7 linked regions of the Mus musculus genome follow. The protein of the gene in region 4 purifies or fractionates together with the protein of the main gene of each other region. This does not show direct contact. Links are inferred from orthologs where the notes say so. Each region holds a gene or a part of one and is shown on either strand. Other genes may lie near its edges.

Region 1 (4,144 bases), about 7.2 Mb from region 4:
ACCTGTTTAGGTTAGTGTAGGTTGGGCGCTCAATGTCGAGGTTTCTACGACAGATATCATAGATGGCCTCATTGTCTACCATGAAGGCACAATCAGAGTGCTCCAGGGTGGTGTGGGTGGTGAGGATGGAATTGTAGGGCTCAACCACAGCAGTGGAAACCTGGGGGGCTGGGTAAATGGAGAACTCCAGCTTGGACTTCTTTCCGTAATCCACAGAGAGCCGCTCCATCAGCAGGGAGGTGAAGCCAGAGCCAGTTCCCCCGCCAAAGCTGTGGAAAACCAAGAAGCCCTGGAGACCTGTGCACTGGTCAGCCTGTGGGAGAAAAGGAAATGTAATGTTTTATTAGGAGGGCATACTCTTAGCACTATTTGCAATTCCTTTAGATTGGGAGCCATATTTGCTTGATAGAAAAGACTTGACAGATTCTGACAGATACCAAGACACCCTCCCACTGCATTTTAAACCCATCCATATATGGCATTTACCAGCTTGCGAATCCTGTCCAGGACAAGGTCAATGATCTCCTTGCCAATGGTGTAGTGGCCACGAGCATAGTTATTGGCAGCATCCTCCTTGCCTGTGATGAGCTGCTCAGGGTGGAAGAGCTGGCGGTAGGTGCCGGTGCGAACTTCATCTGCAAAGGGAGAAGACGTCAGCCATCGGCCACCGAGGACACACACAAGCTCACTCACCCTTCTGGGTCTGGAGAGAGATTCTGAGTATGTGACCAAGAAGGAATGCCTGGGGAAGCCCCCAGCCAGCTTACCGATGACCGTGGGTTCCAGGTCTACGAACACTGCCCGGGGCACATGCTTGCCAGCTCCTGTCTCACTGAAGAAGGTGTTGAAGGAGTCATCTCCTCCCCCAATGGTCTTGTCACTTGGCATCTGGCCATCAGGCTGGATGCCATGTTCCAGGCAGTAGAGCTCCCAGCAGGCATTGCCGATCTGGACACCAGCCTGGCCAACATGGATGGAGATGCACTCACGCTGTGGAAAGAGGGAAAAAAATTATAAAATTAAGCTGTTATAATATTAAGCTGTATTTCTATTTTAGATCTTAATAGATTTCTAAAGTGTTTCTAAAAATAGAAATATTGTTGAAATTTATTTGGAGTCACATCCCTAATAACAGGAACAATGAGGAGTACTCACTACAAACACCAAAAGTGGGTGTGGCCTAGATGTCACCTTAATACTGCTTAAGACATGGTGCAAACCCATTGTTTCCAAAGCCTTGCTTGAATAGAACAGCTTTCATATTTGAAAAATATTTAAAGCATAGATTCTGTAAAACAAAATAATTATCCATAATAATACTAATTGCTTCTTTACCCGATAAGTAAGGATGAAGTTTTCATCCTATAGGACCTGGTATTTCATCATGGACATCTGCAGTGCGGCTGGGGCCAACAGCCACACCCTTCTGTGGACCCCATCAGTACTCTGGCTAGGCTACATAATAAAGAGTCTCACACTATAGGACCTTCTATTTCAACACTGACATCTGCAGTGCGGCTGAGGCCAGGAGCCACACCCTTCTGCAGACAGACCCCATCAGTACTTTGGCTAGTCGACAAGCTAGACAAAGTCTGATTTCTGCATTGCCACGTTCTCTGTGCCTGGTGCTAGCCTGTGCTGTTACATTATTTAACAGAGAAAGCTCTATTTCCAGCAGCTGTCTATGCGATCTCTTTGTGCTGCTTTCATGGTCCCTCCTAACCCTGGCTGGGGCCATTAGCCTGAATTAATGAATTAGTGCACATTTATTAGAACAAAAGATGGTTGGGTGCAGAGTATAATTTTTTTCTTTGCAGAAAATCCATTGTTTTTTGAAGGTTTTCCACTGTATGGAATGGAAATATTCTTAAAGCAGGCTAAGTTAGAAACAATGAGCGCCAACATTTTTTAAAAAAACAAGTGAAAAGATAGCTAAATTTAAAAGTAGAAAATAATATTTTTATCCTATGAATCTCTACATACCACTAATATTTCATTCTATAGAGATACACGTCTGTTGTGGAGGGACTACTTTCATTGTCTGCGGGGGTGGGGGGCGGGGAAGGGCGTTTCCCTGGGTTCTGACCATCAGCGTACTCTAGGATTCACAAAGTGGGCTTTGTCATTCCCCAACCATCCAGCTCCCCTCCCCCCTCAGCGAGATGTCCCCGTTAAGCAAATCGTATTTTTGACAGCCCTGCAGACGAAACATCCCATGACTACAGTTCCACAACGATTTTTTTTAAAGTAAAAATAAAAATAATTAAAAAAAAAAAAACCGCTCGGAAGAGGCTTAGTGAGAACCAACCCCTCCCAAAACGCCACGGAAGCAAGAGACAAACAACCCCGCCCCTGCGCCTCCCTGACAGCGGCTGCCATGGATCCGACGCAAACTAAACATTTTCCTAGCGAAGTGGGGCGGTGTTTCTGGAGTTCGGGCTCGGCCGCCGCCCCTGCCCTCCTACAGCAGCGGACCCTCGATCCCCCACCCGTCCCCGGCGGTCCCCGTGGTCCCCTGCAGTCCCTGGCTCTGCCAGCGCTAGCTCATCGGCGCTGCCTTTGTTCTTCCCGGTCTGGGCGTTTCCGTGTCCCGCACTGCGGCGGCGGGACTCAAAGACTAAGATAAACTTAAAGCATGGAGACCACCCTTTCCCCGCAGAGGTGACCAAAGCCTTAGACGTTTCCTTGCAGATCTGGGGCGACTGACACCCACCCTCTATCTACCGAGAGCCGGGGAAGGCTTGCTCACCATGGTTGCTGCTTCGCGGCTGCCGGGTGGATGGCGGAGGCGAGGAGGAGGTGTTGCTTCTTACAGCGCGACTCTTAGGCGGTCGATGTAAGAGAACCTGCGGCACTTGGGCGGATGCGGCTCCTTATATACAGCTCTGTCACCATGGGGATGGGCCAGGGCCTTTTCCTGTTGGTCCAGACCCCTCTGTCTGCCCAGAGAAGCCGCGACAGGAGAGTGGTGATTGGTGCAAGCGACATGGTATGAGGTAATCTCTCCCCCACCCCTTCCCCCTAGCATCCGTAGACTTTGCATCCTTCAGACAAAGGCCGTGCAAAGGCAGCTAGCCGAGCATCCATTATGGGGTGGAGTTGGGGAGGGGTGGAAAGGGAAGAAAGAAAACTGGGGTTGGATGATTATACGTAGTTTAAACCTTAAACTGTATTTAAAAATCATCTAAGGTTTTTCCCAACACTTAATCACAGAATTTATGTTTAGAATCTTTTTGGAAAATTCCAGCTTTTCATTTTTAATATACTGAATTTAATTACGTTCTGTCAGAATTCAACATCTCTATTTGCTTTAAAAAGTAGCAGAAGATACGGGGGTGGTCAAAAAGGCGTGGCTGAATGTTTAGTTTCATAGTTATTGTATTATTGTTATTCTTTATTATTATTTGAGCAAAAGTCAGTACGAGTAGACCACGCCTGTGACCTCAACAGCACCTGGGAGTCAGAGGCAGGAAGACTTGCAGCTCAAGGTCATCTTAACTGGCCTTAGTGGTTTATTCCTGTGTATCCCAGCACTGGGAAGCCGGGGATTGCAGCTAATTTGTGCCCACCCTGGATATATAGTGTGATATCCTGTCTCAAAAACCAAAAGAAAAAGAAAGAAAGAAAGAAAGAAAGAAAGAAAGAAAGAAAGAAGAGAAGAGAGAAATAATATACAAAGTAGTACTTAATACTAGAGAGCTTTCTTTCTTTAGCTGTAATTCTCTCCCATCACCCCTCCGTGCCCGCCCCCCTACCCCACCCTACCTCACCCCAGAGCCTGTGTTATTTTGTCCCTAGAAATGAGCCATCCTTTCTAATATGGAATTCAGAAACTGTAAGGAGAAAGAATTGAGTTTAAAAACTAGCTCTTTGTGTGGGCTTGTATTTCTCCAGTCTTTTTTTTTTTTTTGGAGGGGGAGGGGTGATATCAAGTAAAAAATAACTGAGATGCCAAATTAAAAAGAGGAGCGTTTTATAATATAAAAGGAAACCATTTTGTGATGTTTTCATCCCCAGACAACTGTGCAGTGCCAGCCCTGCTGCAGTTTTATGTAGTTCCCTGAATTCTGTAAATAGCCCCTTCCGCAGCTGGGCTTCTGACTGTGGGAACTGTAGCTGCTCTCCCCAAGGCTGCTCAGCCAGA
Region 2 (4,279 bases), on a different chromosome or scaffold from region 4:
GGGCTTCGTTCCCCAGCTGGCGCCGCACACCACCCCCACCCCCGGGTTGTGGCTCGAGCTGTTGTTCACGAAGTAATGAACCATCCTTCCCCTTGAGGCCGCAAGGCAGCACCTGTCGCAGACTCACCTCCTCCCCAGGGAGTCCCCGTCCAAGGGGTGGGGCGCTTTGGTGCTTTGGGTTCTTACTCCCCCTATCCTCCCTAGACCAAGTGTATACCCTCGGTATATGCTTCAGGTTCCTTACAAAGGGCGAGGAATAGATAAGGCACTTGAGAACCCTTTGCAAATGGTAGATATAGGGGCGGACGCTTTCTTCACTAGACAAGAAGATTGGACTCTCCCCCAAGTCCCTCAGTGCGTGTAGAATGAAAGAGGAAGAGGGTAGTAGTGGTGTTGATGGCTTGGTCAGTGCTTCATTTCAGGCAACCCAACAATTCTGGCAAGTATCAGCCAATCGGCCTCTTAAGGCACTTACTCATGATCATCATCCTGCTAGTAAGCAAAGGCCAGGCTGGTTTTGTTGTTGTTGTTTTGTTTTACCGTAGACATCCATATGCCACAAGAGGTGGCAACTGACCCAAAGTCCACTCCACTCCTCTCACACACTCTTCTCGGGCCTAAAAAGGGCTGATGTCGTCAGAGAACCAGCGAGGGTGCTGGACAGACAAGGAAGACAGCTGATGGCCTGTGTTCAGGGAAGAGCGGAGATCCAGAGGGAAGAGAAAGAAGGGAAGAGAGGAGAGGAGCCCATGGGGCAGGGCACTGAGTCCGGAGGATATTCAGGCTGGAACATAAGGTTATTGGCTGCACACGTAGGAAAGTCAGAAGGGTGCTGCCTACTCGGCAAACAGGCTTCTTTAGGGGTCATGCTGGGTCAAAAAGGGCACCCTGCTCTGACCCTAGGATTTGTTTCTTAGCTAGGGAAGAGATCTTTCAAGAGATGTTTCTCTTCTGGCTCTCTTGGCACAAGTTTGTAATCTTAGTACTCAGGAGGCTGAGGCAGGAGGCATCTTGAGTTCCAGGCCAGATTGGGCTCCGTAAAGAGACCCTGTCTCAAACAATTTCTTTTCTAAGGATTTAAAGAATGGAGCCAGTCCTTTGGGAGTGTGTATGGGGGTGGACAGTGTCCCGTACAGAGGCTCCGCCTGTCCCGGGGCGCCGGCCGTATTTGGACATTTCGTTCTATTTTTAACTTTCCCGGGACTCGAGGTTGGGGGTGGGGAGAGAAATCCTGCTTCCCCGGTGACCCACGGGCTTCAGCCCTCGTCTCGCGCGGGGTGTCCAGCCCCGTGCTGTAGACACGAGCCCGGAAGTGAGTTCCGGAGCTGTGTAGACGCGGCGGCCGCGCGGGTTCCGGGCCCCACCCTGGAACTAACGACGTTCCTCCTGGAAAACCTGACTCAGGCGGAGCCCGCGGCACGCAGGAGGCCCCGCCCCTCGCGCGCCCCCTCTTAGGTCCCGAACCCCCTCCCACCCAGCCCGGCCAGGCCGGCTGCAGTGGGTCCTAGGGTCGGGACTCCGAGCCCCCTGAGCCAAGGGGCCTGCAAGGGGCGGTGCAGGGGGCGGGCTGGCCCCTCCCTCGGTTACGCCGCGGCCGAGTACAGACCAAGAGGCGCGGGCAGCGGAGCGGGGCGCCGGGTCCGGCAGGATGCGCTACCGGGCATCGGTGAGCATGGGCGCGGGCAGGTTTGGGGTCCAGGGTATCTCTCGGTGGCCCGCGGCGCTCCAGGGCCGGCCTTGAAGCGGGCGCGGCCCAGGAATTTCGGTGGAAGATGTCCCTGAAAGTTGCTAGAACAGGAGGCCGAGGCGGAGAGGGCTGCAGAACGCTCGAACCCAGGACCATGTGGTCGCCCCTGGTGATGGCTAAGACCCCTCCCACTTGAGGACCAGGGGGCGTTGGCTGCGGTGGTGTTTGGCAGCAGCTTCGGGCTGGGTGGGTCAGGGGTGGGCAGGTCTGAGGGAGACAGGCCCTGGACTTGAGGGGTGACGGAGAAGCAGAGAACTGAGCAACTAGGGCTAGAAACCAGGGTCAGGGGAGACTTGGTGACCTCCCTGGAATTTACAGCGGCTCCCAGTACCTTCCTCTTCCTTGACACCCCCCTACCCCAGCATTTTCTAGATCTGCAGGCCCTCTTTGAAAGGAAAGCTCTGCTTAAGACGCGGCTTGAGGGTCTAGCTAAGCCTGTACCTGCCCCACCCTTGGGTGGCAGCTGGGTTTCCCCTGGGAGAACCCTCCACCTCCTGAGGCTTCTCAACGGTGGAGGAGCTGCGGGAGGAGGGGGGGCGGGGGGGGAAGCCTAGCAGCTGGAGAGGAGGGAGTGGCTCCAGTTGAGGGAGGGCAGGCCACCCGCTTCTGGGGTGGGCATCAAGTCCAGCTGAGGTGGTGGCCCATGGGGAAACCCTCTCCTAGGACGTGAGCTCTGGCTTGATCCCTAAACAACTTCTACTTCTGGGAATTTGGGGTGGATGGGAGTTGGAGAGATGGCCCCTCCCTGTCTGCAGAATTCCCTCTGAACCGTTTGTCCTCCAAAGCACCTGTAACACGTAGCTGGGATTTGAGGTCACCTGAACTAACCCACTCCTGTTCTCTGAAGAGGAAGCAGTCCTGAGAAAGGAGGAGGTTTGTCCAAGGTCAACACCAGCATTCTTTCTGCCGTTCCTAGGAGCTCCTTGTCATGTCCCACCTTCCTCAACTCAAAATGCCGCTGCCCTGGATTCCATGCAGTCGTTCAGTGTCTGCTGGGCCCTTTGTGCTCCTATGGGCTGTGTGCATGGTCCATATGTCCCATAGGGTCTCTTATCTGCATTCCAGCATCCTGCAACCCAGCCATATGTCCGGAACATGTTCTGTAGCCTGTGTCCAAAGTGTCCCTGCCTTCTACATCCTGCAGGCAGGGTAGGAAACGAGACTTTAACCTGCAGACTCTGACAGCGTCTTGTGGCTGGTTCCTCACAGGCCCTGGGCAGTGACGGGGTTCGAGTGACCATGGAGAGCGCCTTGACTGCCCGAGACCGGGTAGGGGTGCAGGACTTTGTCCTGCTGGAGAATTTCACCAGTGAGGCTGCCTTCATTGAGAACCTCCGGCGGCGGTTCCGGGAGAACCTCATTTATGTGAGTGCCATGAGCACGGCTGGGCCCAAGGACCTAGGGGAAGGTGGCAGCAGGAACCTTCAGGAAAAGCCTCTGACCCTTCTCCCCCACCCCCCCAACCCCCAGACCTACATCGGTCCTGTCCTAGTCTCTGTCAATCCCTACCGAGACCTACAGATCTACAGCCGGCAGCATATGGAACGCTACCGTGGTGTCAGTTTCTATGAAGTACCACCTCATTTGTAAGTGATTCCCTTGCCTTTCCAGGAGTGACCTACCCTGTCCTCTTGCAAGATGACCCCATCCAAACCCCACTTTGAAATGATTCCCTGACCCCTGGGTGACTCACTGGTCACTACTGAGAGGAATCCCATGGTTGTTCACCTATGGTCACCTCAGTTCTCATTAGTTGAACTCTGAGTTCTGTCCACCAACCAGGACCCTCAGCTCCTGAGCTCAGTTCCCATCCTGAAGTATTCCTTTAACTATCTTAACATGGCCCACCTGTGAGGACTCCCAGCCTCATTCAAGTACCCAGCTTCCCCATGGCTGGCACCTCACTTGGAGTGATCCTCAGCTGGGCAGGTGTACCCTGTGAGGGCTTCCCACCTGTCCACCCCCTTCTCCATCTTCCAGGTTATAACCCCCATATTTTACAAGAGTGGTTCCCGTCAGGTATAGGTGGGGTACCACTCTGGGAACTCCCTGACAAATCTCTGCCCCAGGTTTGCAGTGGCTGACACTGTATACCGGGCACTTCGTACTGAGCGTCGGGACCAGGCAGTGATGATTTCTGGAGAGAGTGGGGCAGGCAAGACAGAGGCCACCAAGAGACTGCTCCAGTTCTATGCAGAGACCTGCCCAGCCCCTGAACGGGGTGGCGCAGTGCGAGACCGCCTGTTGCAGAGCAACCCCGTGTTAGAGGTGAGGAGACTGCAGCATCTGAGGAGAGGGGTAGACAAGACAATGCCAGGCTTCCCTCACATTCCTGTCCCCGACTCCCCACCTTCAGGCCTTTGGGAATGCCAAGACTCTCCGCAACGATAACTCCAGCCGGTTTGGAAAGTACATGGATGTGCAGTTTGACTTCAAGGTACCTGTGGGTATAATAAGGAAGGGGTGGGTTAGCCATTCAGTGATTCAATATTTGTTGAGTGCCTACTACGTGCCAGGCACTCTTCCAGGTGC
Region 3 (4,282 bases), on a different chromosome or scaffold from region 4:
CTGCCTCCCAAGTTCTGGGGTTAAAGGCATGTGCCACCACTGCCCTGCTTAATTTGTTTTTTTTTTGAGAGTAGGACTTGCTATGCAAGCCTGGCCGAGCCTTGAATTAGAATTCCTCTTGACTCAGCTTCCCAAGGGCTGGGGTTACAGATGTGTGTCATCATGCTAGCTAACAGGTCACTCTGGCCACAGAAAGCAGCATTTCCTGGTTTTGGCGTTTGTATTGGGGGTTGAACCTAAGATGTAACACATACTAGGCAGGTGCTCTGTCACTGAGCTATATCCCTATGCACCAAATTCCCATTAATGATATCTCCCGGGTATATCCCTACTAAGCTAAATCCTCATGACCTGTATCCCTACTAAGCTAAATCTCTATAAGCTGTATCCCTACTAAGCTAAATCTCCTGTATCCTTACTAAACTGTATAGCCAGATTCTTTATTCCCGCCCCCCAGCACCCAGACTTTTTTTCTTTCTTAGAAGCCTCATGCAGCCAAGGCTGGCTTTGAACTCTGGAACCTCTGACCTCCCAAGTACTAGGATCACTTTCTATTTTGAAACAGTTTCACCAAGTTGCTCAAGCAGAATATCTTGAACTTGGTCTTTTCCTGCCTCAGCACCTCAAACAGCTGGAATAACCAACCTGTGGCACAGGACTGGCTATAGCTTGTATTTTGGTTCCTAGATGGAGGGCAGGTGGTCTGATCCCTTTGTGCTTTGAAGCCACTAAGGCCTGAGATACATGTACCTTCCGAGAGAGAGAGAGAGAGAAAGAGAGAGAGAGAGAGAGAGAGAGAGAGAGAGAGAATATGAATGTGTGTGTATGTGTGTGTGTGTCTGGGCTGCAGTGAGGAATCTCTGGTTGCAATGAACAGGTTGTGACTACTGCTGCCTCTGGAGCCCTGGCTACCCCTCTTACAGGGTGGGTTTGTGAGAAGTCACCAGTGCTTGTCCAACACCTCTCAACCTGATCTTTGTTAAATTGGGTGAGGCCTAAGATGGTGGGTGATGTTCCTTTATTCAGTGAGGGGCTGGTCATGGTGGATGCCTGGAAGGGGGTGGGAGTGGGGGCTACTACCGGGGACACTATGTTTAGGAGGGTCGGAATAGCATCCTGTGAGACAGCCTGTTTGGCTAAAAGAATGGCTACCTGACAGTAGACATCTGTGTCCTCCTAGCTTCTGGGCCGTACATCCCCCCTGGCTTGGGGACGACACTGCTGAGTCATAGGCAGGCCCAAGCCTGGGAGGTACCTAGGCTCGATACTTACGGGTCCTTTTCCCAACGACTTGAGGCTGAGGCTGGTCTCTTGTGGTCACCCATGTATTCGGTGGGAAAGAAAAGAGTAGGCAGTGGGGTCGTCTCGACCCCGTACCTTTCAAGGGTCCCATCAAGGGGGCTCCAGCGGCCGCCCCAGCCTAGGGGAGGGGCGGGGCTCATAGAGGCTCCGCCCCCACGAGGCGGGGCTCCCCCGTTTTCTATAAAAGCTGGGCTCTCGGCGCCGCCGCTGCCCAGCTGTTTCGTCCGTACCTAGACCGCGGTTATGGCGTCGTTCACGGTGAAGGCCTATCTTCTGGGCAAGGAGGAGGCGACCCGCGAGATCCGCCGCTTCAGCTTCTGCTTCAGCCCGGAGCCGGAGGCGGAAGCCCAAGCCGCGGCCGGCCCGGGGCCCTGCGAGAGGCTGCTGAGCCGAGTGGCTGTGCTGTTCCCCACGCTGAGGCCTGGCGGCTTCCAGGCGCACTACCGCGGTGAGGGCCTGGGGCGGGGAAGCCAACCTCCCCCGCCAGGGAGTAGTAGGTCTGGGCGAGGACGAGGCGGCGTGTCCTCTGGCTCCCCGCGGGGACAGGGTGGTCAGGCGGCCGCTCAGGTTACATCTAACATCCAGCGGTTCGCTTGCTCCCCGTAACGCCCGGTGGTGGGTTCAGTTAAAGCCCCGGAAGACCTGGGACCAGGCAGACGTGGAGGAGGGGTGGAGAGGAGTGACGCGGATAAATAAGCAGCGGGGGCGGGGTGGGGCAGCCCGTGGGAAGGGAGGTAGGGGACCCCGGAACTAGCTCAGTCTCTTGCGTTGGAGTGGCTGGTGGCTGCATGGGGTGGAGCTAGAGGTTGTTGACAAGAGACGAGTGGACAAGACCCTCCCTGTGGGAGGGAATGGTTTTGCGATCTCTATGGAGGACTGTGGGTAGGCCAGGTTGGTTGGTCAGTCTCTCTCTTTTCTGAAATAAAGCCACGTAGCCTGATTGGCCTGGAATTCACGAGTGGTTTAGGCCGTCCTCAATCACTCCAATCCTCTTGTCTCAATTTTCTAGTGCAGGAATCACAGGGACTACTGGACAGAAAATTTTCAGTGTAACTGCGTTATAACCTAGGACCTGTGCAATTCACCCAGTAAAAGTGTATAACGATTATTCTTTCGTATTAGCAGAGACAGGTCTTACTATATGGCCGGGATGGCCTGTATCTCTAAATTGTCCTTCTGAGTCATCTTTGTGCTAGGCATCCAGTCCAGGGCTTCATGCATGTTAGGCCCTCGAGCAACTGAGCTACCTCCCCAGCTCCTTGCATTTAAAAAAAAAAAATGAGTTGTATAACTATTTTCACATTCGGCTTAGAATCTCTTCATTGTTTTATAAATTTTATTTATATATTACATAAAAATTATATAACAATTATTGTAATAATTATTATTTTATTATATAATTTTTTTCCTGTTTGTCATCTTGTATCCTTTCCAGTTCCAGGCAATGGCTGGTCTACTTTAGTATTCATTTTACTATTAGGAATTAGAACACATTAAAATGGCTTTTTTTTTTTTTTTTGGTTGCTTTTTCAAGACAGGGTTTCTCTAGGTAGCTTTGGCTGGTCTGTAGACCAGGCTGGCACAGTGAATCTTTGTTCATTCACTTATTAATATGTCTAAGGCCCATTTGTATTACAGCTCTCACTAGTACATCTTCCCCCCTCCAGTACTGGGAATTGAACCTAGGGCTTTGCATATGCTAGTCAAGGGCTCTATTTCTGTACATGGGCAGTATTTAATTTCTTTTTGTGTATGAAGAATAGTCTTCTTTGAATATGTCATGTTTAATTTATCTGGTCTGTAGTTTATGGACACTGTTTCTTTTGAGGCAATCTCTCTCATCTCCCTTATGGTAGCTGTTGCTAAATGGTTGCTCAGAGGCTCAGTCCAGCCTGCAGGTGTGTGGTTTTGGCCTGTATAAGGTTTTTGTACTGTATCAGGTTTTATACAGACTATTTGTACTGACATAGAAGCATATGGCTGTGATCCCAGTTATTGTGAGCTAACAAAATGAAGCCAGATGGGTTTGAGAAATCGCTCAATGGTTAAAGCCTTGGCTGCTCTTCTAGAGGACCCAAGTTCTGTCCCTAGCACTCATCACAGCTGCAGGTCCTGGAGACCCAACACCTCTTCTGGCCTTTGTGGCACACACATACACTTAAGTGTGTGTGTGTGTGATGTGTACATACAATATTAAAAAAACAAAACAAAACCTGGAAGCCTGGTTGCATGTTTGTAATCCCAGCACGAAGGCGGCTCATCCACAGGTTGTAGGCTGTCCTGCTCTAAGTAGTGTCAGGCCAGGTAGGGCTACATACTAAGATCCTGCCCCTGAAAGCAGAAAACATAGAATTGACAAAAACAGAACAAACAACAACCTCAGAACAACTTAGATGCCAGGCATGGTGGCTGCACGCCTTTAATCCCAGCACTTGGGAGGCAGAGGCAGGCAGATTTCTGAGTTCGAGGCCAGCCTGGTCTACAAAGTGAGTTCCAGGACAGCCAGGGCTATACAGAGAAACCCTGTCTCAAAAAACAAAACAAAAAAACACCAAAAAACCCAAGAACAACTTAGATGGAGCCTGAATGTAGTGGTTTCTAGCTGTCTAGTTGAAGGGAGGGGACAGATGGACTTACGTCCTTTACTTCTGAAGCCTGAGGCCTTTGAAGGGCTGGGCCATCAGGACTAGGGTGGGATCTCCCAGGTGATGGACCCACACCTGGTTAGGCGTGGCCTGAGGGCACAGGTGGCCCAGTGGTTAGTGGCAGGAAGCTGGACCCTTATACACATATACACATGACATATGTTCTGCCTTCTGCATGTAACTAATCTAGGACCTAGGTTGGAGTACATATTCATGCCGTATCGGAATGAACGGCCATCTTGCTGCTTGGCTCAGCAGCCAGGTTGAGTGTAGAGCCTTAGTAGATGTCCCTTTACCACTGGGCTCTGTACACTGCAGCAGATGCTGGGTGCCTC
Region 4 (3,500 bases):
CATAATAAAGTTAAGAAATAACTTTCCGGCTGGGCATGGTGGCGCACACCTTTAATCCCAGCACTTGGGAGGCAGAGGCAGGAGGATTTCAGAGTCTGAGACCAGCCTGGTCTACAGAGTGAGTTCCAGGACAGCCAAAGCTACACAGAGAAATCCTGTCTGGAAAAACCAAAAAGAAAAGAAAGAGAGAAAAGGAACGAGAGAGAGAGAGAGAGAGAGAGAGAGAGAGAGAGAGAGAGAGAGAGAGAGAGAGAGAGAGAGAGAGAGAAGAAATAACTTTCCAAGTGTAGTCCAGACTCTTTCCTTAGAATTTCTTGATTTTCTACCTATAACCCTGAAAGGCTGGCATCATTCACTTATAAAGGTTAAGAAAATGACAGAGCCACAAAAGTCTAGTGGTATCAGCGCATGGACAGCAACTCCGGTGTGAGAGTCATCTTGCTGTAAGTGTGTACTTGCATGCCTGAGCCCTTTGGTTCACACTGGGATGCAGCGCACAGTTTCTTGAGCTACAGCATTCAAGGCCAGCGTGTAGCTATGAGCCACAGTGGATCTGTTTGAAATAGATACCTTCGCTATCCAGATCATCGCTCTGGCCAAACACACTGTCCATAGAAGAGTCGGGAATAAAGGTCCATTCTCCAAATTTCGCCAGCGCGTCTTCAGAAAACTTGCCGTCACTGCCTGAGGCCACGCCTTCTTGAAGGGTGTTTCTCATCTGATACCGGAGCACTTTCCTCGCTAGGACAGATCCTGTGTCTAAAAATAAATCAAACGAAATCAGTAATTATCCAGCATAAACATAACCTTTCTCAAGCTCCTTATACAGACCTGATGCTTTTAAAATAATTTTTCCTTGAAGAATAACTTTACTATATACAGTAATAGTGTATATTTGCCATATACTCTTTTCTATTACATTCTAATTTTAGTATCTGTGCTGCAGCTATATGAGGCTTGGGTATTATGGGCATTTTCAGACATGAAGCTAACTTAACTCAGGGCAGAGTTGGACTGTCACATGTGATGCCACTTGCAAGCTCATTAAGCTCTCTCAGGACAAATCAACTTACCTAGAACAAGTAGGTGGCCTGTTCAGAGCAGGATTATAGAAAATTAAATAACATGATTATGAAATCTTATGACAATGCTAAAATTTGTAACAAACAAAATTTGTTCAGTGGCTCATGTGATACAATTTTAACACCTGTGCGGGCTTATTTTATGCCACCTTGACACAAGTTAGGGTCATCCTCAAAGGAGGGAATCACAGTTGAAAAACTGCCATGATGAGATTGGGTGATAGAAAGTCCTGTGGGGCATTTTCTTAATTGGGGGTTGATATGGAAGAGCCCAGCCTACTGTGGGTTACACCATCCCTAGGCTGGTAGTCCTAAGTGCTGTATAAAGGAAAGTTGAACAAGGCATGAGGAGTAACCAAGTAAACAGCCTCCTCCATGGCCTCTGTACTAGCTCTTGCCTCTGGCAGGCTTCACTGAAAATAAACCCTCTCCCCCCCAAGTTGCTTATGATGAATTTCAACCCTAAGGCAATTCTCTTCTCAAGTTTACATTACATTTTATATTTATTTTATACCAAGAAGAAATGTGCTGGCAGTCACCATTGATCTACAGAAACCCTAGGAGATTTCTTCATAATAAATACAATATGTGAGTCAATCAAATAAGACCTGAGAAATATTTCAATGCTATGCATTCAAATTTTTCCTTTAGACAAGCAACCAATGGTATCGTGATTTTATCTTCCAGCCCAAGTGACATTAACACTTTGAAAATTACATCAAGACTTGCCACTGTAAGATCTTCACATGAAATTAAAGGAATACCAAATTTACATCCGAGGTCACAAACCCATTCTGCCAGAAATCAGAGAACAAAGGTGAGCAAGGTAGCTCACATCTATGATCCCACAGCTCAGAAGGCAACGGTGGGTTTGCCTTCAAGTTTAAATTCAATCTACTTTACTTAGAGAGTTTCAGGTCAGCCTGGGCTACACAGAGACACCCTGAAGAGAAGGGGATATAGAGATGGGGGAAGGAAAAGAGAAGATGGAAGAAAAGGAGAGAGGGGGGAGGGGAGGGAAGGGGAACGGAGGGAAGAGGAGGGGCATCATTTGTAGAACTATTATTCAATACAGTGTTCTATTTTTACCTAAGTGTGATTAACACAACCCAATGGAATTTTCAGCAATCAAAACACCATTACAATGTTAAGTTTGTAATCCTTTCTCGACCAGGTTCTTACTACACTGCCGACCCTGGCCTCACAATTCCCGTCTGAACCTCTCTGGTCCGTGTTTATCCACATTTAAGTTTGCTGCCTGATTCTCCTGTGTGACTGCAAAGGAGTCACTGGATGGCTTTCCCATGGTTTGTTGTTTTGTTTTGTTTTGTTTTGTTTTGTTTTGTGTTTTTGAGTATTTCTCTCTTCCCCCTAATCTTTTTATAACGTTTATTAATAGTTTTCATGTATATTCTCATACATAAAAATCTGTATCCTGGATGTCTAAGAATACATCATAAGTGAAAGAGTAAATAATTAAAATGTTTTATGTGTATGTCTTTCCCTATACAAATAAAACATTGTATACATTAGATTTAAAAAAAAATTCAAAAGTACATGGATTGAAAACATCAAAAGGTAGTGAACAACGGTCCTCAGGAAGAACACTTTTAATTACCGTTGATGTGTGAAGTTCTTGCTATATAGCACATGCTTTCTGTATCATTTACTACCAGCTCACCCTTGCACATTTATGAATATCCTATGACCATATGTCACATGTAAAGTAGTAACATAGACACTAAGATTCCAAGAGTGGGAAAAGCTAACTGACATCACCATGCTTATAATCTACTACAAAAAGATTGTAAAATTTAAAAAAATACAATTATCTACCATGATGATTGAGTTTGTGTACAGTGCATTGGTGGGATAGTGTCTGTGTAGCATGTACAAAGTCCTAGGTTCAAAACAATGCTGTTGGGTCTACTTGAAGTAAGAGACGACACATTCTTATTGGTACTTACTTGTTTGCTTCCTTAAATTGGATGACTTATCTGGAAATAAAGGACCAAGCCAAGAAGGATCAATTTTTCCTATGCCAAATCCTCCAAGGCAAATGCTGTTGTTGGCCAGGTCCAGGGCAAGTTTCCTGAGGAGCAAGCTGATGACCTGGCTGTCGCCCTTTTGGATGCTTACGGTCAGGGCCTTCCGTACATCTTGTTCACGACAACCACCATTAAGCAACAGTTCCACCAATTTAGGACTGCTCTCTTTCTCACATACCTAGTTTCACAAAAAAGAAGAAGTGGACACAAAACTTGAATTTCTTCTCTTTGGCTAGACAGAAAAACAGAGCTTGCTATGGTCAATCTTCATACCTCAAAATTAGGTTGAAATGAAATGAAATAAGGCAAAACTTATTCCTGTAGTAGACATAAAAGATAAAATGAAATTATTGCCACAGATGCAAGGCTA
Region 5 (3,995 bases), on a different chromosome or scaffold from region 4:
AACTCCAGTTTGTTTTCCAGAGATATAAGCTTCTTTGTGCAGCTACCTCCCCCTATGATCCTTAAGACTATCCAGATTTGGGGTTGGTATTTCAATCCAATTTATTAAGTCCTCAGGGAGGAGGAAGGCCACATCTTCCACCATAGACCCTTTGTCATCTTGACAGCTTCTGCTTTCTCCTGTCTCCTCAGCTCTGCCTTGGATTCCCCAGAGAGAGGGATCTGCTGTCTGGTGTGCCCTGAATCTAACACCCAAGAGGAGACTAGAAATCCTTGGTGTGTGTCTTAGGTCTCCTCAGGAAGAGCCAGGGGCAAAGTGATTCTAAGCATCAGGCAAGCACAGCAGGCAGGCTGGAGTAGGGGGAGAACAGACTAAGTTCTTTACCGCAAAGGAGAAAACCACACTGGAGAGGGAAAATAAATAGAATAGCCCAGGGTAGCAGAATCCAGGTCCTCCAGGGCATAGCGACTGTAATAGCAGTGGATGGCTTGGAAGCCTGGCACACTAGTCCTGGGACCATGCCAGATCAGCCACTGAGGAAGAGACGCTTGTAGGCCTTGTTCATCTGTTCCAAGAAGATGAAGGTGAGGACAGTGTGGGGGCCCAGTCGGGCATAGTATGGTGTGAAGCCCTTCCACAGGCTGAAGAAACCCTCATAGCGGACGACTTTCAGCAGCACATCCTAGACAGACAGGCAGGCAAGTGCTGGGGCTAGGCCCTGGTCCTGGTCCAGGCTCTGTCCCCTGTCCCTAGCTCCCTTCGCATCCCTCCCAGGGCACCCCTTCCCCCCCCTCCTCACCAGCCCATTCTTGTATTCTGGCTTCCCATCAATCATCCGCATATTCTGGATCCTGAAAGAGAGTCAGTATGAACATGAAAACCAGAAAGGGGGGCCTCCCCAAGTTCTCCAGTCCCAGGCTGCAGACTCACCTAGTTTTGACGATGTCCACAGGCATGGAAGCAGCAGTGGTAACGAGGCCACTGATCATGCTGGCGCAGAAGTGGCAGAGAATATTGTCAGAGAAGTAGCCTGGGAGGTGAAGCAAAAGGTGGTAGTCAACTCTCAGGTAGCTCAGGCCAGGCTCAAGTTCTCAGCTCTGGGTCTCTCACCTGAGTCCAGCAAGAACTGCTTAGATTGAGAGTAAGAGGCAAGCTGGGCGGCATTGACAACGACAGCTCGAGCCATGGTAGGGATGCAGCCCTGGAGGTGGAGGGTGGAGGCAATGGAGACAGTCAAAAGTGCCAGAGATCTAACCCAGCATGGCCCAAGACTCCAACCCTCGCACTCACCCGCCACAGTGTGGGGACTCCTTCTTCCCTGGCAATCCTAACTAGGGCATTAAACACATTTTTGTAGCCACGGCGCTGGTCAGCTGGAAGCCTGGGGGAAAGGCAGGGAAAGGCCAAGATCAGGACAGACCAGGGTCCATGGAACAAAGAAAGGGAAGCCTGAATAGGTAAGTGCCCTGATGTAGATATAGACTAACAACACCATCCTAGAGTCCAGGAATGGGGCTGGAGTTAAGCTCAGAAACGGAACTCACCGACCATCAGCAGTCATCCTGATGAGAGCCACCTCAGCTGGCGTTCCCACAAATGCACCAGTTGCACCTGCAGTCATGCCAATCAGGGCTTTCAGAAGAAAGCCAGGGGGTGTACCATCAGCCCCAGTCAGGCGCTCAAACAACACAGTATATATTCCAAGGCGAGTAGTGGTGTAGGTGGCCTGGCGCAGTAGACCAGCTGACAGCCTGAAGAGTAGAAATGTCAGCACATCAGGCCAAGGTCTGGACCTGCCAACCAACAACTTCCCTCCCCAACTTGAGGCCACAGTACCCAGTGTAAATGCCCTTCAGGCCTTCTGTCTTCAGGATGCTGGTGAGGGCATGGAAACTGGTTTTGTACTCTCGAGTCTTGGCCCCTTCACCACTCAACTGCATCCGGTTCTTCACCAGGTCCAGGGGCTGCACAAAGACTGTAGCACCCATCCTGAAGTGAGGCAGGAAAGGGAATCAGAGGTCAGTGGTTCCAGCTCTACTGCAACCTGGCAAGAAGTTACAAAGGTCAGGGCCACTAAGGATTCAGGAGGCTGGTGGGCATGTGTGTTAAGTGTGTGCATCAAGGGCAACGTGCCAGCAAAAGAGTCCAGTTGCCCAGTAAGGGGCATGCAAATCAAAAAGCCTCAGGCAGTTCTTTAGGGTTCAAGCAGAATTAGGACTACAGGCGATCTAAAGAAAGGTGGAGAGGGCGTCCCCATCCTAAGACTCCAAGCAGTCCTATAACAAAGCCTTTAATGACCTATACCCACCACCCAAACAGGCACAACGAAGCAAAGGTGGTGGAAACACAGGGTAAAGATCCTTGAATGCAGCACAGTTGGGTCCCTGCAAAGGATGAATAGATCCTGGCAACCCATCAGGGACCCTGCACCGGCTCAATTTACTGCAACACACCCCAAGTTACACTGGGCCCAGGTGCTTGCTCCCGTCCCTTCCTCCTTTTCCCCCATCACTGGGGCCTGAGCTTACCCAGCCAGGCCCCCAAACAGGAACTTGACAGACTTAGGGGAGGTACGGGGTTTCCCGTCCATCCGGCCAGCCCCAGGACTCGCCGTCGCCGCCATCGCCCCTTGATGGCCCTCGGCTTTGGGTCCCGTGCACGTACAGCCCCGCTCGCGCCCAAGGTGACACCAGCGCGCAACAGGGTGAGGGCGCGCGCGCGCACGCCCCTCCGACAGGCAAATCTGGCTCCAGCTGGAAGCTGGGGCGGGCGCAGGCTCGGAGCGCAAAGGCAGCCGGGGAATAAGGCGGGGCTAAGATGCACGATGAAGGGGCGTGGCCGATTTAGGAAGCTACCCTAAATTCCCGCCCCTCCGGAATTGGAATCGCGGGGAAAAAAAAAAAAAAAAAGCTTGTTTGAAAACCTCGCGAGAGCAAGTGAATCAGCCGAGTTCGGGCTATGAGGCCTCTCGCGATATATTTCAGCGGCGAAAGGGGGTGGGGGGGTGGAGGGAGGGTGGTGGCAAGCACTCTCGCGATACTTTGAACGTACCGTGGCGGCCAGACGAAGGAGAGGTTTGTAAACAGGGCAGCTCCAGGATCTCAGGGACTGAGGGAAAAAAACTAGATCGTCTCCTGAGCATCGAAGCTCCCTCCATCTCCGCAGGCTCCTTCTACATGTCAAACATTTCTTTCAACCGGCCTCTCGGGACCGGAAGTCCTCCGTCCTGAGCGTCCAATACTGGAATTGGCCTTTCTTACCGGAAACCCTTTTCCAGGGGCATAGGAAGACAGTCTACCTGGCCGGAAGTCCCACCTCTTTGAGGTTTCTCCTACCCTTCCGGAAGTTTTTTTGTTGTTGTTGTTACCTGTTTGCCTTCGCTCCTATTCTGTCCTATTTCTGTACTAGAGAAAGATACATTGTCTCCCCTACCAGCTCCGCTAAGCTGGTTTGATAGCTCACTCCCTGAATCGGAGTTCCTTCCCCGACGCCCCCATGTAGCTGAGAAGTGGGACCTAGGGGTGGTTGGACCCCTGGGATCCTGAAGGAGAGGCAGAGGAGGGCGCAGGACTCGGCTTCTGCTCCTGCGATCAGAACGCGACCTTCGCAGCTTTACCCCTCCCGCTGCCATGCACCCTGCGGCCTTCCCGCTTCCTGTTGTCGTGGCTACTGTACTGTGGGGAGCAGCCCCTGTCCGAGGGCTGATTCGAGCGGTGAGTCTGAGGGTCGGACGGGGACAGGGTGCTGAGAATGGGGTTCAGACTGAAACACGTAGTGTTCCGTCTGCAGACTTCGGAGCACAATGCCAGCATGGACTTTGCAGACCTTCCAGCTCTGTTTGGGGCCACTCTGAGCGACGAGGGACTGCAGGTGATGTTTTCCCCATTTCCCTATATGGATCCTGGGTAGGGGCGAAGTGGCCGTGCTCAGGAGGTAGGAAGTAGTGGAGTTAGCAGCGGAATGCAGTGGACTGCGGATAGTTCAATGATAGGGTG
Region 6 (2,813 bases), on a different chromosome or scaffold from region 4:
CAACCAGCTCGGTGTGGGTGGGAATCTTGCTTCTCTAAGGGAAGGGGCTCCGTGACCCAGTGAGCTGTTAGGGAACTGGGCCTGCTCCGCCCAGGAGCTCCACAAAGGAGAAACCACTACCACCCATCCCACTGAAAAAACGGCAGATGCTAGCTAGCTGCCTTTGATCAAGGGTGGGAACTGGTGATCACAGCTCAAGTCCAGGGTCCAAGTACCACTGCATTAAAAGGCATCTGGCCCTTTAAAAACTGGAGCTTGCCTTCTGTGCGTGAGCATCTGCGTGTGAGCGTGAGTTCCTGGCTGCCTGGGAGGACGCCACGGGGAGGGCATTGAAGTGAATCCAGGTGGCCCCAGGGATGGGTGGCCTCCCTTTCTTCCCCCACCCACCCCCCTGTGTATCCTCTGGGTATCTTGAAGGCTGCAGCCTGACGCATGGGGTCTAGGGAGTGAGGGACTTCACGCCCTTGTGAGATGGTGGGCGGGGAGAGGGGCTTCTTTTTCTGATAGGCCCCTTTTACCACTCATTCTGTCCTTCTTTCTTTCAGGTGGCACAAGACTTGAAATTGCTTTGAAGGTGAGGACATCCCCTCCCCCACCGCCAGCCACCACCACCAGCCACCTACATCGTCCTCATCAGCCCCTCCCCATCAGTGCCTCCACCAACATCACCCGGCCTGACTCCTGCTTCACTTGGTGTAAATGGCTGATAAGCAGATCAGGTCAGAGGGACCCCAATCCCTGGGCTTTTGGTCTTGGCTTTTGGTCACCCCCCCTCTCCAGCATGACCTCCCTATCCCCCTGTCCTGTGGGTGAGGATGTTAATCCTGACACTTGACCCTGCACACACAGCCTGCCGGCCAAGCTCATCAATGGTGGCATCGCTGGGCTAATCGGGGTCACCTGCGTGTTCCCCATCGACCTGGCTAAGACACGGCTGCAGAACCAGCAGAATGGCCAGCGCATGTATGCCAGCATGTGAGTGAGAGCTGCCTAGGAGGGGTGAGGGTGCAGCTGCCACCTTTTATCTCTGCTCCTGCACCCCTGAATTTGATGAAGGGGGAACAACACAGGGCAGACCTGAGAAAGATTCCCCCACCCTACCCTGACCCTGACAGAGTCTTTGGCTTCTCTGTCAGCCTTGGATGAGCATAGTGGGTAGAGACAACACTGGCTGCCCTTGCCTGACTCGGGGCCAGGGTCCAGCTGGCCACCACTTATTGCTGTCCCCTTGACTACAGGTCTGATTGCCTCATCAAGACCATCCGCTCCGAGGGCTACTTCGGCATGTATAGGGGTGAGGCCTGGGAATGGGTGACAGATGGGTCTGGCTGGGAGCAGGGACAAGGGATGCATGTCTGGGCTTGGTCTGTAAGTATAGACGTGTGATACTGGTAGCACCTGAGCACAGTGGGGGCACCTGCCATCCCCTCATGCTGGGGGGACTGGATGTCTGGGGGGATAGTTCTTCTGCAGGGTGGCAGGTCTCAAACCTCACCTGAAACACCCTGCTGTCTTCTACTGGTACAGCAGGACAGAGGTTGTTTCTTTTTCTCTATTGTAGTGGCTTAGGTCTCCTCCACTACTTTCTGTGACAGGCAGGACCACATCTGTGCCTAGAGACCAGGGGCATTAAACAAAGCAGCTTAGGAAACAATCCCTGAGGGTGGATTTGCCCAGATGCTGTGTAGCCCTGAGCCCTCAGCTCTGATCAGCCATCCACAGCCTTCTCTGAGCCCTGACCCATACTGTAGTCCTGCCAGTGGGAGCACCTGTCCCCAGGAGGGAGGACCCCCCCACATAGTCTTTGGAGGCTTGCTCCTCATTGCCTCTCAGGAGAGACCTGTTCTGCCAAAGCCAGAGACAGATGGAGGTGGAATGCTGGGGAGGGAGGACACAGCGCCACCCCATCCCGCCTGGTTCCCCCGCCTGCCTGGCACAAAACAAGCCCATATGTGGGTGAGAGGGCAGGAGGCTGCAGCCAAGGAGTGCCAGGCAGGGCTTTGCCAGTGTGGAGCAAAGTGCTCTCCCAAAGCTTCCCTAACCCAAGCTACCCAGCGAGTCTGTCCCCACCCGACCTACCTGTGTCCCCCAAGCCTTAGCTGACCCTCAGATGCCCCACAGGAGCAGCAGTAAACCTGACCCTGGTCACCCCGGAGAAGGCCATCAAGTTGGCAGCTAATGACTTCTTCAGACACCAGCTCTCTAAGGATGGGTGAGAGGCTCGGCCACGCTGGCTGCTGGGGCCCAGGTCCTAAGGAAGGGTGTGTTGCTAACCCCACCCATCACGCCCCAGAAGTCCCCTAGACTGAAAACAGACCCCAGAGGCTCTTCTACCTCGGTCCCTTTGCGCACCATCTCTGACCTTGTGGGGGCGGGTGCTTGCCTGCTGCCCACGTGAGGAGGTGCAAGGCAGCTGCTGAGTCAGCAGCTGTTGGCCCCTAGCCACCATCTGCTGCCAGAATTTGGGGGCATGAAGCAGTTACCCCATGACTGGACTGTGGGGCTGCAAGGTTGGCCCCTTCTCTTCCCCATTTCTCTTTATGAGCCCTTACGTGTGAGACCATCTGTCCTTTGGGCTGGACGCCTGTTGCTGGAGAGTCTGGAGCCCGAGGTTGTGCCCCTGTGGGACCTCCACAGTTCCCATCCCCCTTTACACCAGTGAATCAGACTGTCCCTGCCCCATGTAGGGAGTTGTTTCTCATCACCTCAATCATAGTCCTGCCCCCGCTCTATAGACAGAAGCTGACCTTGCCTAAGGAGATGCTGGCAGGCTGCGGGGCCGGCACCTGCCAGGTGATTGTGACCACCCCCAT
Region 7 (4,169 bases), on a different chromosome or scaffold from region 4:
AACCTGTGGGTTACAACCCCTCTGGCAAACCTTGTCTCCAAAAATATTTACATTATGACTCATAAAGTAGCAAAAATTACCATTATAAAGTAGCAACAAAAATATTTTGTGATTGGGAATCACCACAACAGCATTAGGAAGGTTGAGAAGCACTGATTTAAGAGATCAGGCATCCTACACACTTTTTCTACGCGTACCCCTTCTTCTAGATCTCTCCAATAAAGGGCAGCCTACCTAGATCCACATGACTTTGTGTAGAATATAATGGTCATGGTCACTCTTCAAGGCAACCTTTCTCTGATCCAGATCCTTAGTAAGCCTCCATCAATTCCCATGGTTTGCCTCTAGGCCAGCAGTTCAGAACCTCTGGGGTCGCTATCCCTTTGGATCTCACATATCAGATATCCTGCATAACAAATATTTATATTTTAATTTATAGCAATATTGAAATTACATTTATGAAGTACAACACAATAATTTTATGGGTGGGGAGTCACCACAACATGAGGAACTGTATTAAAGGATTGCAGCATTAAGGAGGTTGAGAAATAGTGCTCTAGGCTTTGTACACTTGTCTAGGTCTCTAAGGTCACACCAAGCTTAGAGACTATTCTACTCAGCCAGAGAAGACCTCTCCCCCCAGAATTCCTCAGGGCCCAAGGTAGAACAGTGAGTATGGCAGGTACAAGGTGTACAGATCTACATGCATCACAGGGCAGGCAGGCAGGCAGGCAGGCAGGCGCCCTCTGATTGTGTGCATTGGCATACCCTGGACCTTTGGAAAGCTGCTTGATCCTGTAGTGCTGGTGGCCACTTGGCCCAGTGCTGGCCCCATTTCCTCGCGAATGGAACTAGGCATTAGAGAAGACGACGGTGGGAATGGGCCTGTGCAGGTGTGCAGGCCAGGGTCATGGAGACTGGGAAGACCAAAGGAGATGGGTAGGGAGTGCCAGGGCTCTGTGGGTGTCTATGTTAGGTGATGAGAGCCCTGTCTGACAGCATACAAAGAGCTCTCAGCAGCGTTAGGCGCTCTGGAAGGGTTCGCTCTCAGGATTGCTTTACACTGCTGTGGATCACACTGTGGCTGAGAATCCTAGGCACTGGAACACCGGGGGAATAAAATCAGGAATGAAGCCAGTAACAAAAGTATGTGAGATCTCACAGGTTGGGAAATCTCACAAGCCGGTTTTGGTCAAATCACTTGCCTCATCCCTAGTAAGTTGCGCTCTAAAGCATCCTCTAGTGAGGTCAGCCAGCTCCGCCCCTCGGCGGCCTAGCTCTCAAAGGAAGTCTCAACCGCTGCCGCACGAGTTCTGAAAGCTCCGCCTTCTCCCTGTTCGAGCCAATCTCTCACAAGCGTTACGTTTCTGTTTGCCAGCCCAGCCTGTTCCCTCAGCTAGACCGGTCTGCACCGGCCGTTCTGGCTAGTTTGGGCCTGCCCTGAGGAGCGCGCGCAACCTGCGTAGCCGCGGCTGTGACGCAAATGTGACGGCGGCGTGACGCGCCCACAGCCGCTCTTGAGGCTCTGGCGCTTCTTCTTCTAGGCTCCGAGCGGTTGGTTTCTTGGGCCCTGTCTGTAGGCCCCGGCCGCCCCTGGCGTTCAACACCGCTTCCAGGTGCCGGCCTTGTCTGCCATGGACGACTATGCGGTTTTGTCCGATACTGAGCTGGCCGCAGTGCTACGCCAGTACAACATCCCTCATGGGCCTATTGTGGGTATGCTGCACCCGGTGGCGCTCAGAACCTCTCTTGGTCCACTGCTTTCCCGCGCTCCTCCCTGAGCGTTCTCCCCACCTCTCCCTCCCCTCAAGTCCCCTCCCCGTGTTCCCTTGTGCTCTTGGGGTGCTCGGCTCACGCCCTCTGACCGCTTCGCACCCTGTGTCTGGGCAGGTTCCACTCGCAAGCTCTACGAAAAGAAAATCTTCGAGTACGAGACCCAGAGAAGGAGACTCTTACCCCCCAACTCGTCATCTTCTTCATTCTCCTATCAGTTCTCAGGTGAGCCCTTAACTGCAGAGCCCCAAAGAGCAGCTTGGGGCACACGTCTTAGGGAGGGAGGGTGTGGCCGAAGCTATTGAGGGAGTAGGGGGAAGGCTGGAGATCGAATGGTCCTGTCCCTCCTCCTTCACATGCAGACTTGGATTCAGCCGCCGTGGACTCAGACATGTATGATCTGCCCAAAAAAGAAGACGCCTTACTTTACCAGAGCAAGGGTAAGGCAGGTATAGGGTGGGCACTGATGTTTTTATCCCATGCTTCCGGGATTTGGGCACAGGGAAACCCCAGACCTCCCTCACCTCCTTGTACCAGTTCTCAGTGGCTTCAGAGGGGAGAAACTGACACAGCACACACAGGCTGGGGAGGGAGAAGAGGAGGCCAGTTAAGGGGCACCACTTTTTCCTCTACCACTGTTTTCCTCCCCAAGACTATAATGATGACTACTATGAGGAGAGTTATTTGACCACCAAGACATACGGGGAGCCTGAGTCTGTGGGCATGTCCAAGAGCTTCCGCCAGCCGGGGACCTCACTTGTAGATGCTGATACCTTCCATCACCAGGTGAGTTGGCTGGTAGGTATACCTGGGGTGCAGCCTTAGGGAATTCTAGGTTTGGATAGGTGCAGAGAGTGGATCTTAGGCTTTCAAATCTGGTTAGGGTCAGCATACAGCTGTCGGGTTAAAAATTCTATGTTGGAACCTTCAAAACTATTGGATTTGGGGATGCTCAGCAGAAGAGTATTTACCTATGGTTTCATCTCCAGCAGCACATAACAAATGTTTTGGGGTTTTGGCTTTTTTAAAAGATTTAATTACTTTAATTATACATATGTGTGGCCAATTTTTGTTAGTTTGTGGGTATTTCCCCCCCCCCACTTCACCCCCAGTAATGAAAAATTCCCAGAATTCCAAATATCACACAATTGTAGAAACTATCTGAAACTCACAGAAACACACCTTTGCTAAAAGCATGAGGCAACTCATAGTTAGCTGCTGTGAAGCAGCCCCATATTCCACACCTAAGATTAAAACAAAAACATATTCTTACAATATTTCTGTGTTTCTTAAAAAAGCCAAAATTCCAGAATTCTCACATACATGTCTGTGGGTAGTATGCATGAGTGCTGGCACCTACAGAGGTGAGAATTGTCATATTCCCACTAGAGCTAGAGCTACAGGTAGTTGTAAACTGCCTGATGTGTGTGCTGGAAATTGACCTCAGGTACCTAGGAAGAATAATATGTGCTCTTAACCAGTGAACCACCTCTTCAGCCCACAAACTTTTTTGATCAGAGAATATGTAACAGCTCCTGCACTCTAGTAATTAATCTACGATATAGATTTAAGCCTCCTGAGAATCCAGGGGAATAAAAGGATGCTGGAACAAAGTCAACAGGGTTAGTAACTGAGCAGCAAGGCCCCACAGATAAAGAGGCTCCACATACTCAGAATGGGGGAGGGGGGGGCAATTTTCTGGTCCCTATGATATGATTAGAGCAGGCTAGCCAGAGACATTTAAGGAAAACCATTCTTCCCCATTTCTAATCCTAATTATTCTGCAGGTGCGTGATGACATTTTCTCTTCTTTAGAAGAGGAAGGCAAGGATAGGTGAGTAGTGAACATATGTAGGGACAGGGACAAATTCGAGTCTCAGACTCTCCTGCCTACCTGTTGCCTTCTTTTGCCACAGGGAGCGCCTCATCTATGGCCAAGACAGTGCCTACCAGAGCATCGCACACTACCGCCCCATTTCCAATGTCTCCAGGAGCTCTCTGGGCTTATCATATTATCCTACATCCTCCACCTCTTCTGTGTCCTCCTCTTCATCTTCTCCCTCTTCATGGCTTACCCGACGTGCCATTCGGCCAGAGAAGCAGGCCCCTGCTGCTGCTCTGGGCCAGGATCGACAGGTCCCACTCTGGGGCCAGCTGTTACTCTTCCTGGTCTTTGCTGCCTTTCTGCTCTTTGTTTACTATTCCATACAAGCTGAAGAAGGCAACCCCTTCTGGATGGATCCCTAAGGGTATTGGTTTTAGAGCAGCTCTTACCAGGAGTTTTGGCTGATTGCCTTATCGGTGTTTGCTGGGGGTGGGGAGGGTAGGGGCTTTTTTGTGTGTTCTAGTTGGGTGCAAGGTCTAGCCTAAGGCAATGCTTGTCTCCCACCTCATCC

Evidence for each region.
Region 1: the proteins of Lrrk2 (region 4) and Tuba1a purify together in Homo sapiens (affinity purification with western blotting; 4 studies listed by BioGRID and IntAct, with this or other methods). This does not show direct contact. The link is inferred for Mus musculus from reciprocal best matches to the Homo sapiens genes LRRK2 and TUBA1A.
Region 2: the proteins of Lrrk2 (region 4) and Myo1c purify together in Homo sapiens (affinity purification with mass spectrometry; 3 studies listed by BioGRID and IntAct, with this or other methods). This does not show direct contact. The link is inferred for Mus musculus from reciprocal best matches to the Homo sapiens genes LRRK2 and MYO1C.
Region 3: the proteins of Lrrk2 (region 4) and Sqstm1 purify together in Homo sapiens (affinity purification with western blotting; 3 studies listed by BioGRID and IntAct, with this or other methods). This does not show direct contact. The link is inferred for Mus musculus from reciprocal best matches to the Homo sapiens genes LRRK2 and SQSTM1.
Region 5: the proteins of Lrrk2 (region 4) and Slc25a11 purify together in Homo sapiens (co-immunoprecipitation; 3 studies listed by IntAct, with this or other methods). This does not show direct contact. The link is inferred for Mus musculus from reciprocal best matches to the Homo sapiens genes LRRK2 and SLC25A11.
Region 6: the proteins of Lrrk2 (region 4) and Slc25a22 purify together in Homo sapiens (co-immunoprecipitation; 3 studies listed by IntAct, with this or other methods). This does not show direct contact. The link is inferred for Mus musculus from reciprocal best matches to the Homo sapiens genes LRRK2 and SLC25A22.
Region 7: the proteins of Lrrk2 (region 4) and Emd purify together in Homo sapiens (co-immunoprecipitation; 3 studies listed by IntAct). This does not show direct contact. The link is inferred for Mus musculus from reciprocal best matches to the Homo sapiens genes LRRK2 and EMD.

Annotation. Positions count from the first base shown.
Region 1 is NC_000081.6:98,950,702-98,954,845, forward strand, and holds the start of Tuba1a (tubulin alpha-1A chain), read right to left. Parts: upstream 2,801-4,144; 5' UTR 2,753-2,800; coding exon 2,750-2,752; intron 991-2,749; coding exon 768-990; intron 636-767; coding exon 487-635; intron 314-486; coding exon 1-313. UniProt on the Homo sapiens protein: Tubulin is the major constituent of microtubules, a cylinder consisting of laterally associated linear protofilaments composed of alpha- and beta-tubulin heterodimers.
Region 2 is NC_000077.6:75,654,536-75,658,814, forward strand, and holds the start of Myo1c (unconventional myosin-Ic), read left to right. Parts: upstream 1-1,479; 5' UTR 1,480-1,648; coding exon 1,649-1,666; intron 1,667-2,956; coding exon 2,957-3,112; intron 3,113-3,217; coding exon 3,218-3,333; intron 3,334-3,816; coding exon 3,817-4,015; intron 4,016-4,103; coding exon 4,104-4,184; intron 4,185-4,279.
Region 3 is NC_000077.6:50,208,021-50,212,302, reverse strand, and holds the start of Sqstm1 (sequestosome-1), read left to right. Parts: upstream 1-1,482; 5' UTR 1,483-1,545; coding exon 1,546-1,750; intron 1,751-4,282. UniProt on the Homo sapiens protein: Molecular adapter required for selective macroautophagy (aggrephagy) by acting as a bridge between polyubiquitinated proteins and autophagosomes.
Region 4 is NC_000081.6:91,728,724-91,732,223, reverse strand, and holds part of Lrrk2 (leucine-rich repeat serine/threonine-protein kinase 2), read right to left. Parts: intron 3,309-3,500; coding exon 3,050-3,308; intron 760-3,049; coding exon 571-759; intron 1-570. UniProt on the Homo sapiens protein: Serine/threonine-protein kinase which phosphorylates a broad range of proteins involved in multiple processes such as neuronal plasticity, innate immunity, autophagy, and vesicle trafficking.
Region 5 is NC_000077.6:70,644,240-70,648,234, forward strand, and holds the start of Slc25a11 (mitochondrial 2-oxoglutarate/malate carrier protein), read right to left. Parts: upstream 2,801-3,995; 5' UTR 2,624-2,800; coding exon 2,529-2,623; intron 1,990-2,528; coding exon 1,837-1,989; intron 1,752-1,836; coding exon 1,545-1,751; intron 1,382-1,544; coding exon 1,291-1,381; intron 1,202-1,290; coding exon 1,111-1,201; intron 1,031-1,110; coding exon 931-1,030; intron 852-930; coding exon 800-851; intron 683-799; coding exon 527-682; 3' UTR 1-526. Other genes in the region: E3 ubiquitin-protein ligase RNF167 isoform 1 precursor, read left to right, coding at 3,630-3,713, 3,790-3,870. UniProt on the Homo sapiens protein: Catalyzes the transport of 2-oxoglutarate (alpha-oxoglutarate) across the inner mitochondrial membrane in an electroneutral exchange for malate.
Region 6 is NC_000073.6:141,432,062-141,434,874, reverse strand, and holds part of Slc25a22 (mitochondrial glutamate carrier 1), read left to right. Parts: exon of another isoform or gene 1-466; intron 467-545; 5' UTR 546-699; coding exon 700-719; intron 720-849; coding exon 850-975; intron 976-1,238; coding exon 1,239-1,294; intron 1,295-2,121; coding exon 2,122-2,212; intron 2,213-2,716; coding exon of another isoform or gene 2,717-2,735; coding exon 2,736-2,813. UniProt on the Homo sapiens protein: Mitochondrial glutamate/H(+) symporter. Responsible for the transport of glutamate from the cytosol into the mitochondrial matrix with the concomitant import of a proton. Plays a role in the control of glucose-stimulated insulin secretion.
Region 7 is NC_000086.7:74,253,318-74,257,486, forward strand, and holds the start of Emd (emerin), read left to right. Parts: upstream 1-1,369; 5' UTR 1,370-1,634; coding exon 1,635-1,716; intron 1,717-1,890; coding exon 1,891-1,998; intron 1,999-2,135; coding exon 2,136-2,213; intron 2,214-2,425; coding exon 2,426-2,559; intron 2,560-3,560; coding exon 3,561-3,607; intron 3,608-3,689; coding exon 3,690-4,020; 3' UTR 4,021-4,169. UniProt on the Homo sapiens protein: Stabilizes and promotes the formation of a nuclear actin cortical network. Stimulates actin polymerization in vitro by binding and stabilizing the pointed end of growing filaments. Inhibits beta-catenin activity by preventing its accumulation in the nucleus.